Sus scrofa: one gene and its partners. The protein of the gene in region 1 interacts with the protein of each later gene in a biochemical or structural test. Links are inferred from orthologs where the notes say so. Each region holds a gene or a part of one and is shown in the gene's direction. Other genes may lie near its edges.

Evidence for each region.
Region 2: of the proteins of MAP3K11 (region 1) and MAP2K7, one has a biochemical effect on the other in vitro, tested with the Homo sapiens proteins (2 studies listed by BioGRID). The link is inferred for Sus scrofa from reciprocal best matches to the Homo sapiens genes MAP3K11 and MAP2K7.
Region 3: the proteins of MAP3K11 (region 1) and MAPK8IP1 form a complex in vitro, tested with the Homo sapiens proteins (2 studies listed by BioGRID). The link is inferred for Sus scrofa from reciprocal best matches to the Homo sapiens genes MAP3K11 and MAPK8IP1.

The regions. Positions count from the first base shown.
Region 1 is NC_010444.4:6,638,860-6,642,862, forward strand, and holds the start of MAP3K11 (mitogen-activated protein kinase kinase kinase 11), read left to right. Parts: upstream 1-1,201; 5' UTR 1,202-1,391; intron 1,392-2,116; 5' UTR 2,117-2,672; coding exon 2,673-3,414; intron 3,415-4,003. Other genes in the region: PCNX3 (pecanex-like protein 3), read right to left, coding at 1-41, 403-555. UniProt on the Homo sapiens protein: Activates the JUN N-terminal pathway. Required for serum-stimulated cell proliferation and for mitogen and cytokine activation of MAPK14 (p38), MAPK3 (ERK) and MAPK8 (JNK1) through phosphorylation and activation of MAP2K4/MKK4 and MAP2K7/MKK7.
Region 2 is NC_010444.4:71,298,509-71,301,839, reverse strand, and holds the end of MAP2K7 (dual specificity mitogen-activated protein kinase kinase 7), read left to right. Parts: coding exon 1-342; intron 343-463; coding exon 464-606; intron 607-1,103; coding exon 1,104-1,149; intron 1,150-1,251; coding exon 1,252-1,386; 3' UTR 1,387-2,830; downstream 2,831-3,331. UniProt on the Homo sapiens protein: Dual specificity protein kinase which acts as an essential component of the MAP kinase signal transduction pathway. Essential component of the stress-activated protein kinase/c-Jun N-terminal kinase (SAP/JNK) signaling pathway.
Region 3 is NC_010444.4:16,581,956-16,586,168, reverse strand, and holds the start of MAPK8IP1 (C-Jun-amino-terminal kinase-interacting protein 1), read left to right. Parts: upstream 1-1,405; 5' UTR 1,406-1,637; coding exon 1,638-1,738; intron 1,739-4,213. UniProt on the Homo sapiens protein: The JNK-interacting protein (JIP) group of scaffold proteins selectively mediates JNK signaling by aggregating specific components of the MAPK cascade to form a functional JNK signaling module. Required for JNK activation in response to excitotoxic stress.

The DNA.
Region 1 (4,003 bases):
AGGCAGTACACACCAGCCACCATCAAGCTGGGGGGCAGGACCTGGGGGCGGCAGCAAGTCAGGTCCCTCTTCACACAGCCCTGTCCCTACCACCTACCACCACAGTCAGGACTAGGACACACAAATTCATTAAACTCCATCACGCCTGCCGGCTGCTAATACAAAGACCCTGCGAGGCAGCCCTATCTCCAGCATAACTGGAATGAGATTAAGTGAGATTCAAGGTCACCCAGGCCAGGGAAATTCTGGCCTCTCTTCCACACACTCCAGACTCCGCAGTGAATCCTCTTCCCACACCCCAGCGCCCCAGCCACAGCCCAGAATCCCTGCCAGGTTGCACCCCTTCGTGACATCTGCCCTCCCTTTCCCCGGCACGAGTTACAGGTGGCCGCAGCATCTCACCATATACAGCAAGAAAGGAAAGGTGAGCAGGAAGATCCAGACATAGAGATGGAAGCAGTTGGAGAAGGTGCTCTGGTGTGGGTCGAAGAACCAACCGCCGGTGAGCGAGGCCCACACCCCCTGGCGCAGGATCTGCAACACCTGCGACCCCATGGCCCCGCCGCTGCTGCGCGCGCCCCCCTCCCGGGACCCTCATGGGGGCGGCCCCCGGCCCATGCCCCGCCTGGCGCCCGAGGGCCCCGGGGCCCAACCTCGCGCTCACGCCATGGCCTCCCCCAGCGGGGGAGAGGGGTCGGTGGGGCGAGGGTGCGGGCAGGGGGCGGGGCCGGCCAGGGCAGTCAGTGGTGCGAGACCCAAGAGCCGGGGTGGAGCCGCATCAGGGGTGGGGTCCAGGCCCCCACCCCCGGCCCAGAACTGCTCCTAAGGGCCGGACCGGCGGGCAGGCGCAGGGCACGGGCCGGGCACCGGTCGGCGGCATCCAGAGGTGGGCGTGGGGTGGGTGCTCCGGGGGTGCAGACGACGGCTCCCACGGTTCCGGCCCGGGGAGAGCCCCGGGACCCTGAGGTCCACTTCCGGGGTCACAGGTCACTCGCTTTGGGCTCCGCGGTCGCCCCGCTTCTGCGGGAGCCGACCCAAGGGGGAGGCCGGAAGAAGGAGCCGCGAGCCGCCAACCTGCAGTGGCGCATGCGCCCGACGAGACCAGTTGGGACCCGGAAAAGGAAAACCTTTCGGCTCGAATGCGCAAGCGCAGGGAGGTGGTGGACCGATAAGAAGCGGGAGAGCCCGCTGGGCTTGCGCAGCTGAGGAAGGGACGATCCAAAAGGCACAAGTCCTTGAGCGCATGCGCACACCTAAGCGATGCCAACCTAGCCGCGATCACTGGGCGGAACGCGAGGGAAGAGTTACTAGAGGCGAGGAAAAGGATGGAGGCGTGGACACCCCTGGGGGCTAAAGCCACAGTTGTGCGCTACTGGAGCAAGCCCCTCTAGGTGCGCCCTTTTTAGCGCTGGACGTCAAACGTCACGAGCGGCCTCTACTTCCGGGTCAGAGCTCAAACTCAGAGTGTAGAGAGAACAGGCAGGACTAGTCGAAATAGGATAGTGTCGTTTTTCTTAAAGTGACAGGCTCAAGGCAAGGGGGTCCGTCGCGCGGTTGCGAGAGCGATTTAGCTATTCCAAGTGCCATCACTGGACAAATTTCAGGAGCACAGTCTCAGGTTTCCATCCCTTCTTGGGAAAGAGGCATGAATTGTTTCCCAGGTGAAGGGAAGCAGTAAATCTTAGACAACGCGTTCCAAGAGCTCCAAGTGCAGCCAGTTTCGTCCTCCATTCTTGCCTACCCCCACTGCCAGCTCTGCAAAGCGGAGCTCCTGGCCCCAGTTTCAGACATGAAGAGAATGAAGCGCAGAGAAAGGGTCACACGGCCCTGCAACTTCGGAGCCAAGACCACACTCGGGTTTGCCCCTCTTCCAAGCCAGGATCTTTCCCCCAGTTTTACAGATGCAGACGTAGAGGGCGGGGACGGTCCCTCCTTAGCAGAAACCAACCTCGACCTTAAACCTGTTGTCACGGGAGGTGGGGGCTACGGGCTACACTTCCTCTCCTTCTGCCTCTCATTGCCCGCCTACCCGGTAACTCCCAGACCAAATCGCCCTGCAGCCTCTGGGAGGGGAGCGGTGCTACCCGCCCGCGTCATCTGATGCTGTTTCCTGCAGGAGAGAGAACAGCGGAAAAAAGTGAAACTCCACCCTCCACCTCTGCCTCCCGCCCCCGGGGCCAAAGTACAAAGGGAGGAGGAAGAAGGGAACGGGGTTGGAGCCATCGGGTCGCGAGAGCTGAGCCAGGAAGAGGCAGCTCAACCTAGAGACACTCCAGCCACCCCCCTGCGCAGAGACCCAACGGGAGTCCAGGCACTGCCCCTCGCTGGCCCCACCTTTCACTTGGCGGGTGCTGGAGCTCGGCTCCCAGGACTGCTCTGGACTGAGGGACGCCCGGGCCCCTCTGTGCCGGCCATGGTGAGACATCGGAGGCCCTGGGGGTCCACCCCCCCAGCCTGACCACACTGCTTCCCTAGGTCGCCCTCCTCCGGAAGCCCGAGATGCGGTGGGCCGGGAGGCGACACTCCTGGCTCCCCAGAGAGGCGTGGGTCTGGGGCTGAGGGCCAGGGCTCGGATGCCCAGGTTCCGGGACTAGGGCCTCGGCCGTCAGCAAGGGTGGGGACCGGGGCACCCAGGGAAGGTCCCCCACACCCGCCAGTGCCAGCTCCCAGCTATGGAGCCCTTGAAGAACCTCTTCCTCAAGAGCCCCCTGGGGTCATGGAACAGCAGTGGCAATGGGGGCAGCGGGGGCAGTGGCAGCGGAGGTTGGCCAGAGGGGTCCCCGAAGGCTGCAGCTTATGCCAACCCTGTGTGGACAGCCCTGTTTGACTACGAGCCCAATGGGCAGGACGAGTTGGCCCTGCGGAAGGGCGACCGAGTGGAGGTGCTGTCCCGGGATGCAGCTATCTCGGGTGACGAGGGCTGGTGGGCGGGCCAGGTAGGTGGCCAGGTGGGCATCTTTCCGTCCAACTATGTGTCTCGGGGCGGTGGTCCCCCCCCCTGCGAGATGGCCAGCTTCCAGGAGCTGCGGCTGGAGGAGGTGATTGGCATCGGTGGCTTCGGCAAGGTCTACCGTGGCAGCTGGCGGGGTGAGCTTGTGGCCGTGAAGGCAGCTCGCCAGGACCCCGATGAGGACATCAGCGTGACAGCTGAGAGCGTGCGACAGGAGGCTCGGCTTTTCGCCATGCTGGCACACCCCAACATCATTGCCCTCAAGGCCGTGTGCCTGGAGGAGCCCAACCTGTGCCTGGTGATGGAGTATGCTGCCGGTGGGCCCCTGAGCCGTGCCCTGGCTGGGCGGCGCGTGCCCCCCCATGTGCTCGTCAACTGGGCTGTGCAGATTGCCCGTGGAATGCACTACCTGCACTGCGAGGCCCTGGTGCCTGTCATCCACCGAGACCTCAAGTCCAACAACAGTGAGTTCGGGGGAGCGTGGCCGGAGGGTGGCATGGCCCAAGCAGACAGCTGCTGCCGGCTCTTAGCTGAGCCGACCCAGGGGTTTCCTAGAAGTGGCAGCTCCTGCCCAGGATTGTCTCAGGTCCCTGGGGGGACCCGTAGGCTCACATCAGTGCCAAAGCAGGAACCCCAGGCACCCAACAGAGCCCCAGCAGGAGTCCCTAACCCCAGCTCACAGCTGCCAAGTTAAAAAATGGGAATCTCGGAGTTCTTGGCGGCTCAGTGGATCAGGGATCTGGCATTGCCAGGGCTATGTCTCTGGCGACAGCCGTGGCCCGGGTTCGATCCCTGGCCTGGGAACTTCCACACACCACGGTCTCTCGGGCGGACCATAAGCAACCTGCCTACCATACATGGCCACTAGCTCAGGGGAGGCGAGTCCTGGGCGCTGGCACCCCTCATCTTCAGGGAACTCTCTTGAGGTTCACATGCACCCACAGTAAAGGGGCAGCTTCTCCAGAAGAGAAATCTCAAAGGGGCAAGCCCCCCCACTGTGGCCAAAACTGGGGCCAGGGATGGAATTCTGGCCCCACTCCTACCCCTGGCTGC
Region 2 (3,331 bases), about 65 Mb from region 1:
CTGAAGGAGAAGCACGGTGTGATCCATCGCGATGTCAAGCCCTCCAACATCCTGCTGGATGAGCGGGGCCAGATCAAGCTCTGCGATTTCGGCATCAGTGGCCGCCTCGTCGACTCCAAGGCCAAAACGCGGAGCGCAGGCTGCGCAGCCTACATGGCAGTAAGTGGGGCCCAGCAGGGCCCGGTGGGCGGGTGTGAAGGGTGGGCGATGCACCTTCCCCAGCCATGGGTCCATCCACCCTCTCCCACCTCCCACCGGCAGCCCGAGCGCATCGACCCCCCGGACCCTACCAAGCCTGACTACGACATTCGGGCAGACGTGTGGAGCTTGGGCATCTCCTTGGTGAGTGGGGGCCTCTGCCTTTGGAGGCCAGGGCTAGGGTCTTCTTGGAGGTTGGACGCAGGCGGCAGGGATGGCAGAACCCTGTCCTCGGCCGGACCAACCCTGCCTATCTCTCTCTCAGGTGGAGCTGGCGACAGGACAGTTTCCCTACAAGAACTGCAAGACGGATTTTGAGGTTCTTACTAAGGTTCTGCAGGAAGAACCCCCACTCCTGCCCGGTCACATGGGCTTCTCGGGGGACTTTCAGTCCTTTGTCAAAGACTGGTGAGGAAGCAGGGCGAGGTCAGAGGTGGCCCTGTGCTCACTGCTGCTGGGCAGGGGAGGGGGGGCCCCGGATGGGGTTGGGGGCTGCAGGCAGGAGCTGGCGCCTGAGCCCTGGGAGCTGGGAGCTGGGTTTGGACTCAGCCTAAGTGGACACCGGGCCCTGTGGGTATGTGGCAGAGTGGCCTTTGCGCTCCACTGTGGGGGGCTATGAACAAGCAGAGGGTGCCCCAGGGTTCAGGGTCTGAGTGTCCTACACTGGTGAGCTGAACTGTGGGAGCAGGACATCCTTGTTGGAGCCTTCCTTGGGGGTGCCCAGCCGCTTCTCCTGCGGGGGTCTCAGTGCAGGCAGGAGCCTGTCACAGTCGGAGGGCCCGAGGGCAGACCCCAGGATCCTCTGTCAGCACAGGGCCTGGGGGCAGTGGCGGCTCCTTGCCACAGATCTTGCAGACCCAGACCCGACTCCCAACTCTCACTTCCTTTTCTCTCTCTCTTTCTAGCCTTACTAAAGATCACAGGAAGAGACCAAAGTATAATAAGCTACTTGTGAGTATCTGGGGCCCCTCTCAGCCCCCATCCTGAGCCCCTCACCCCACTGCCTGCCCAGCTGGACACCCTTGTCCTAAGCCCCCACCTTGGGCCCCACAGGAACACAGTTTCATCAGGCGCTACGAGGCGCTGGAGGTGGACGTGGCATCCTGGTTCAAGGATGTCATGGCGAAGACCGAGTCGCCTCGGACAAGCGGGGTCCTGAGCCAGCACCACCTGCCCTTCTTCAGGTAGCCACGTGGCGGTGGCCAGCCTGCCGGGGGCCAAGGGTGCGGCCACAGGCCCCCCTTCCCCACTGGGTTACCCAGCTGCCTGCCAGGGGAGCCCTGGGACCTGGACAGCCGCTGAGGGCTGAGGACAGAAAGTAGGGGGCGCCGACCCACCCCCGACTCCCTGCCCACCAGCCATGGACAGACGGGCCCGTCAGGCCCCAGCACTTCCCGTCCCGGGGTCAGCCGGCCGTGCGCGTCCCCCCCCCCCGCCCCCCGAACCCCGACAGACACTGTGAACGGAAGACAGCAGGCCGCGAGCAGACTCGCTATTTATTCAGTTGTAACCTCTGGGCTGGGGCGGCCCCAGGGGCCAGGAGAGAGCCGCCCGTCTGCACCCTCCAGCACTCACTGCGCTGTCCCCACTGCCGCCCCATGCACGTGCACCCCGGCCCCACCTTCCTCTCTGTCACCTCCCTCTACCTCTCTGGCTTTCCCCATCTCCCTCCCTGGCTCTGCTTCTCTCCTGGCCCAGGCCCGGGCTCTGCCACCCCTGGCAAGACCCTGGGTCCGCTTAGGTGTCTGGCAAGCAATGAGTCTGTTGGCTGGCGTTCCTGTGGACGCTGCGACTGCAGCCGGGCCCGGGCTGGTCTCTTTCTCTCTCTCTTTTTGATCTCAGGGGGTCCTTTTTGGAGTTTATTGTATTTTATTGTACTTGGTGGGGTGTTTGGGGGGTGGGGGGCGGAGAAGAGCTTGTTCTTAATGGGGTTTGTCGGTACCTTCAGAAACTTTTACCAAAGTCATGTTTAGCTGCTTGTGGTGGAAGCCCCCCCCAACCCCGACTGCCTGTCGGGGCTCGGGGGCTGGGGCTGGGGGCCGAGCCATGGGGGCCTGGGCCACCACCCAGGAGAGACTAGTCCCAAAGGTGGGCTCCGGGGGGGCTCCTCCCTTGGGGCTGGAGACTGGCCACAGCTTGGTGGGGTGAATCGAAGACCTCAGGGGTGGAGAGAGCCCAAAGGGCCTCGGCCACACAGGGTGGCCTTCAGGGAAGGCAGGCGCGGGGCGTGGTGGAGGGCAACAGGTGCTGGTGCGGCAGGGAGGCGGCACAGGGAATGGGTGACAGGAGTGGGGTCCGTGGGGCCCAGGGAGGCAGGGATTGAGGGTGCAGGGAGTGGATGTATGGGTTTGAGAATGTGTGACAGGGACAGAGGTGGGGCAGGCCGAGGGCTGGGCGTGTGGAGGTGGTCACGCCCTTGCAGTGGCCCTGAGCGCCCCTCGACTCACCCAGAGCTGGCCAGTCCCCAGCCCACCCTGAGGCCCCGGGCCCCAGCATCCCCGGGGTTCTGCGCAGCAGCCAGAGCGAGCGGGAGGGGGTGTGTTTCCTTTTTGTTGGTGATGCATGCAAATCAAGTGGACAACGAAACAAAATAGCAAAAAAAAAAAAAAAAAAAAAAAAAAACCATAAAAACCAACCAACGCCAAAGGTGAGGAACCTCGCTGGTTGTAGCTGAAGCAATCTAGACTAGGCATCACTGGACCCTCCATTTGTCCCATGACTCGAGTTACTACTAGGATAGTCACAAATGCCGCATGTTTAAAAAGTACTCGCAGTCATCTTCTCTCTGCCCCTGCGCCGCCCCCCCCCCCGGGGGGGGTGGCCACCTTCTCTCTCTCTCCAGTCCCTTTTGTGAGGGGAGGGGGCAGGGTGAGGGGCCAACAGGCCTGGCCCCTGCTCTCCCTTGCCAGGCCAGGCCCAGCCCCGGGGGCCTTTGTGGATGGCTGGGAAGGTCGCGTGGCTGGCCCCAGGGCCTGCGCAGGCCCAAGGCCAGCTGCCTGGGTTTATTTTTTATTTAACTTGATTTTCTGTTTTGTGTGTGTCCACCCGTCCCCCCGCCCCCACCCTTCAGTGTTAAGTGGGAGCCTCTCCCCACCTGCCTCTCCCATGTCCCACCCCTACCCCAAGTCACCAG
Region 3 (4,213 bases), about 9.9 Mb from region 1:
GCAAGTGGTTACTGTTTAGGTCTGATGAAAGAAGCCTGAGCCCAGATAGAAAAGGGGCAGGGAGAAAGGCATCCAAGCCCTTCTCGAGGCTTCTTCAAGGCTCTAGGTATTGGGATGTTCTCAGAGCTGGAGCTCGGGGGTTGTTTACTGCAGAGCAGGTGCCTGCAGTCCGTTCTGGGTGCTACAATGCAGGGTAAGGGTGGCAGAAACAGTGGGCAGTCTACATTTGCAAATAGGATTCCACAAGCTGTGGAACAGTTTGCTCTGCCCCTTCAGGACAGGATCTCCGAGTACTCCCAGCGGGGCCAGACAAGCCAGGTTTTGGCCAGAGGTTCTATGAGCCACCAAGGCTGGGGGCCTAGCTGTGGCCAGCAGTGGAGTATCCAGAAGTCCACGCTCCATGAAAAACTCACAGGTTTAGTCCTCTGAGGGGAGAGACGACCAGGAGGAACCACAGCCCAAACTTAGCAGGGGCAGAGGTCCTGGAGGGAGCAGAAAAGCCACCCAAAAAATCCCAAGAAGTCAATCATGGAGACAGGAGGGAAGGTCCTAAGTCTTAGAATGTGAGAAGCCTGCTACGGGGTGTCAGGGTGCACAAGAGGGGGTGCTCTGCAGGAAGTGCAGTTGAGGTGCTAAGGGAGAAGAGGGAGAAATCAGGAAAATCCTGATATGAGGGAGGAGAAGTTGAGAGGCAGAAGCCAAAAGAAAGGGTTCAGTTCACCCCTAGAGGTGTTTGGGGGCTGAAGGGGGACTTGAGTCAATCTTTGGAGAGGAGACCCTCTGGGGAGAGTCTTTGGGAGGAAGAGTCCCCTCAAGTTCAGGGGACAGGTTTGGGTGAGAGCTGGATCCCAGCAGGAGGTGAGCATTCCCAGTCTCCAGTGACAGCATATTTGTATTACACTTCATCCTCAGGACCGAAAGAGGGACCATCATTGTCCCCATTTCACAAATGAGAAAAACCAGAGCTTAGGACCACTGTTAATAATGCAAGGCCACACCGTCTATTCACTTGGAGAGCCAGGCTGTGACTTCACACCACCTGACTCCAAGTCTGCTCTAGGAGCCAGCTCCCAACACCCACTTGCCTCTCTCTGCCGTCCTCCGCGACCCTCTTCCTTGACTACCTTCTGTGTCTGCAGCCAGGGGGTCAACTAGGACCCTAGGCACCAATGTCCCGCCATTAGTTACCCAATACTTGTGCCCTATGCCCACCCCAAGAGGCAGAGCCCATGCAGGCAAAGGGCTTCGCCGGAAGGGGAAGTAGACCAAGGCGTTAGTGGAGGATTTAGGGCGGGGCTGGGCCGGGCCAAGCCTGGGGGCCGCGACTTCAGCACCTTGGAGAGCACCGGAGGGCGGGGCTAGCGGGAGGGGGCGGGCAGGGGGCGGGGCGCAGGGACCCCGGCGAGAGCCCGGGGGCGCGCGCGCGCGCGCGCCAGCCCAGAGAGCGGAACGCGGTCCCGAGCCGCGCCCTGCCCTGAGCAGGTGCGCCTACCGCGCCGGCTCCAGCCTCAGCCCCGCGGCGGCGGCCTCTCGTCGCGGTTCCGCTTCCTTCCCCGCCGCCGCCGCCGCCGCCGCCGCCGCCTTCGCCCCCGCCTCCGCGCCGCGCTCCGCCCGGATGGCCAGGGCTGTGCGGGAGAATGGCGGAGCGAGAGAGCGGCGGCCTGGGCGGGGGGGCCGCGTCCCCGCCTGCCGCCTCCCCGTTCCTGGGGCTGCACATCGCGTCGCCGCCCAATTTCAGGTGAGAATCCCCGGCCGCCGCGTCCCGCCCTTCAGCCCGGATTGATCTGCCCCGGTTCTCCCCTCTCCCCCAACACACACACCAGACCCCAGAACGAGAGGGCGGCGTGGGGATGGGGTCTCTATCCGAGACGGATCCCCCAGAAGCCCCCTCAGCCCAAGTCCACACTGATGGCCGCTGCATGACCATGGTGCGGCTCCTTCCGCCATTCCGTGTCCTAGGCAAGGAGAGTCTGAGCTGGAATTGGAGGAGGGGGCGCGGAGGCCTCCTTCTCCCCGACTTTGGGGCTGCGGCGGGGCCTGGGATCTGCGTTGAGATCCCCGAGGAGGCAGGCTGCTTGGGGCTTTGCCTCTGCCCAGTCAGAAGCCTTCTGAATCGAGGTGGGAGCAGGCAGGGGTGCCCCCGTGGATCCCAGTTTCTTGGGTCGACCGACAACCTTGGTGCTGGAAGGAGGGAGTCGTAGGCCCTTCCTCCAGCCCTTCCGGGCCCAAGGGGCGCATCTCCCAGGCCTGGCATGGCTAGGACCCTCTGTGGATTTGGACAAGCACTGACCTAGTCAGATGTGTGCACGTGCGGAAGCCTTAGCCTCAACCGAGAGATCTTAGGCGCGGCTGTGGGAGAGGGGGTCTGGTTTGGAGCGCCTAGGAGTAGCCGGGATATTGAGGGGGAGGGGTCCCTGCTGGGGTAAGTACCCAGGACCCTGATCTGAGCCCCTCAGCACCCCTCTCCCTGCCCCCTATCTGGTGTTAGGCACCTGGGAGGTGGCTTTCAGAGAAGTGGCAGTGGGTGTTGGGGAGGGGGAGGGATGAACGTCCCTCTTCCCTCCCCCACCCCACCCGTCCTGGCCGGTTGGAGAAGAGGATGTTACAGCTCCAGAGCCTCTGAGAAAGAGGCCTAGACATTCCCCATTGTTTCTCCACCTAATGAGCTGGTGCCTTCCCCTCTCCTGGGGCCCCCACCCCAGCCAGGCCCCAGCTGGGCTCTGGCGCCAACGCCTCTTCTGACCAAGAGGTTGCTGGCTCCCTGGCCCTCAGGTGGGCAGGGACCCCTGGGGATCTCTAATGGCATCATCAGGACTAGAAATCTCCCCCAAGGCCCTGAGCTGAATGCAGAAAGACCAGAGGGAGGGGACCAGATGGAGGAGGCCAAGCCTGAAGCCTCGAGGGCTGGGGGCCTTGTGGTTAGTGCCTCAGAGTAACAGGGCTGACGTCTGAGCCTGACACCACCTGACACGTCACGTGCCGACTCCACGCAAACGCTGGCCTTCCTTCCAGGAGGCCCCTCTGCAGTGGGAGACCATGGCAGCCAGTTTAGATGGACCTGGGTTCAAATCCTAGCCCCACCATCTTCTCGCTGTATGGCCTGGGCAGCTTTTTGTCTTTTCTCAGTCCCATCTGTTACGTGAGCTAATTAATATTGATTCCTTAATGTGCATCAAGTCGGTGCTCAACAAGTGTCCGCCCTCCAAACCAGCGGATGTTTAGATGGCTCCTTACTGCTCAAAGCATCGTCTCTGTGCTGGCTCACAACCACCCCTGGCCTGGCCCATTGTGTGGAAGAGGAGACTGAGGCAGGAAGGCAGATGGCTTGCCTGAGAACCCCCAGAGAGTCAGGGTCTGAGGCTGCACTAGAACCCGGGTCTGCCTGTTCAGTCCACTCTACCTCCAGGCCCTGCCTCTGGCCCAGGGGACAGTTTGGCCTCCCCCTGGCTGCTTCCCCATCCCCAAGTGACAGCACTTTCTGTCCCACCCCTGGAATCCTTAGTGAGAAATGCTGACCAGGCAGGCCTGCCAGTGAGCCTGTCCAGCCCGGGACCCAGTGGGCGAGGGTGGCAGTAGACCAAGGCTGAGGCGAGGGCAGGCCCTGCAGGACGCCGTGGCCTGGCCGTGGACATGTGGCCCACACGTGGGAATAATAAGAGCAATGTCTTCAGCCTCTCAGGGCCCACCCTGCCTGCTCCAGCAGCCCCCGCTGCCCTTTCTGTGTCCCGCCTCTCATAGCTCTTAGCCCAGCAGGCTTCTCCCCCCACCAGGGGTTGGGCGGGGGGGACTGCTCTCCTGCGGCACTGGCCCGGGCTCAAGTCCTGCCTCGGCCTTCTTAGCTGCATGCCCCAGGAGTGGGTGCTTCACCCCCTGAGCCTATGTTTCTTCTTCTCCATGAGGCCGACTTTGGCCCCTGCTCAGGGTGGTCCTAAGACGTGGATGAGACAACACAGGTTGACTGTTTCCAGGGCCAGCAGAGCTGCGTTCACTCAGGACTGTTTATTATTATTATTACGCGTGTGCACATGTGCGTGCCCTGGGCACCACTGTCAACTTCCAGAAGGCACAAGGAGTCAACAGCTAAGCTTTGGTTTGCACCAAGTAGGTGCTCAGTATCGCCTTCATGGTTTGTCATCTAATGCAGGATAGAACTGGGTGCTGCGCTCCCAGACTACGGAGAACAGTGCCCCCTGCCAGAGAGTCACGCTGTAAA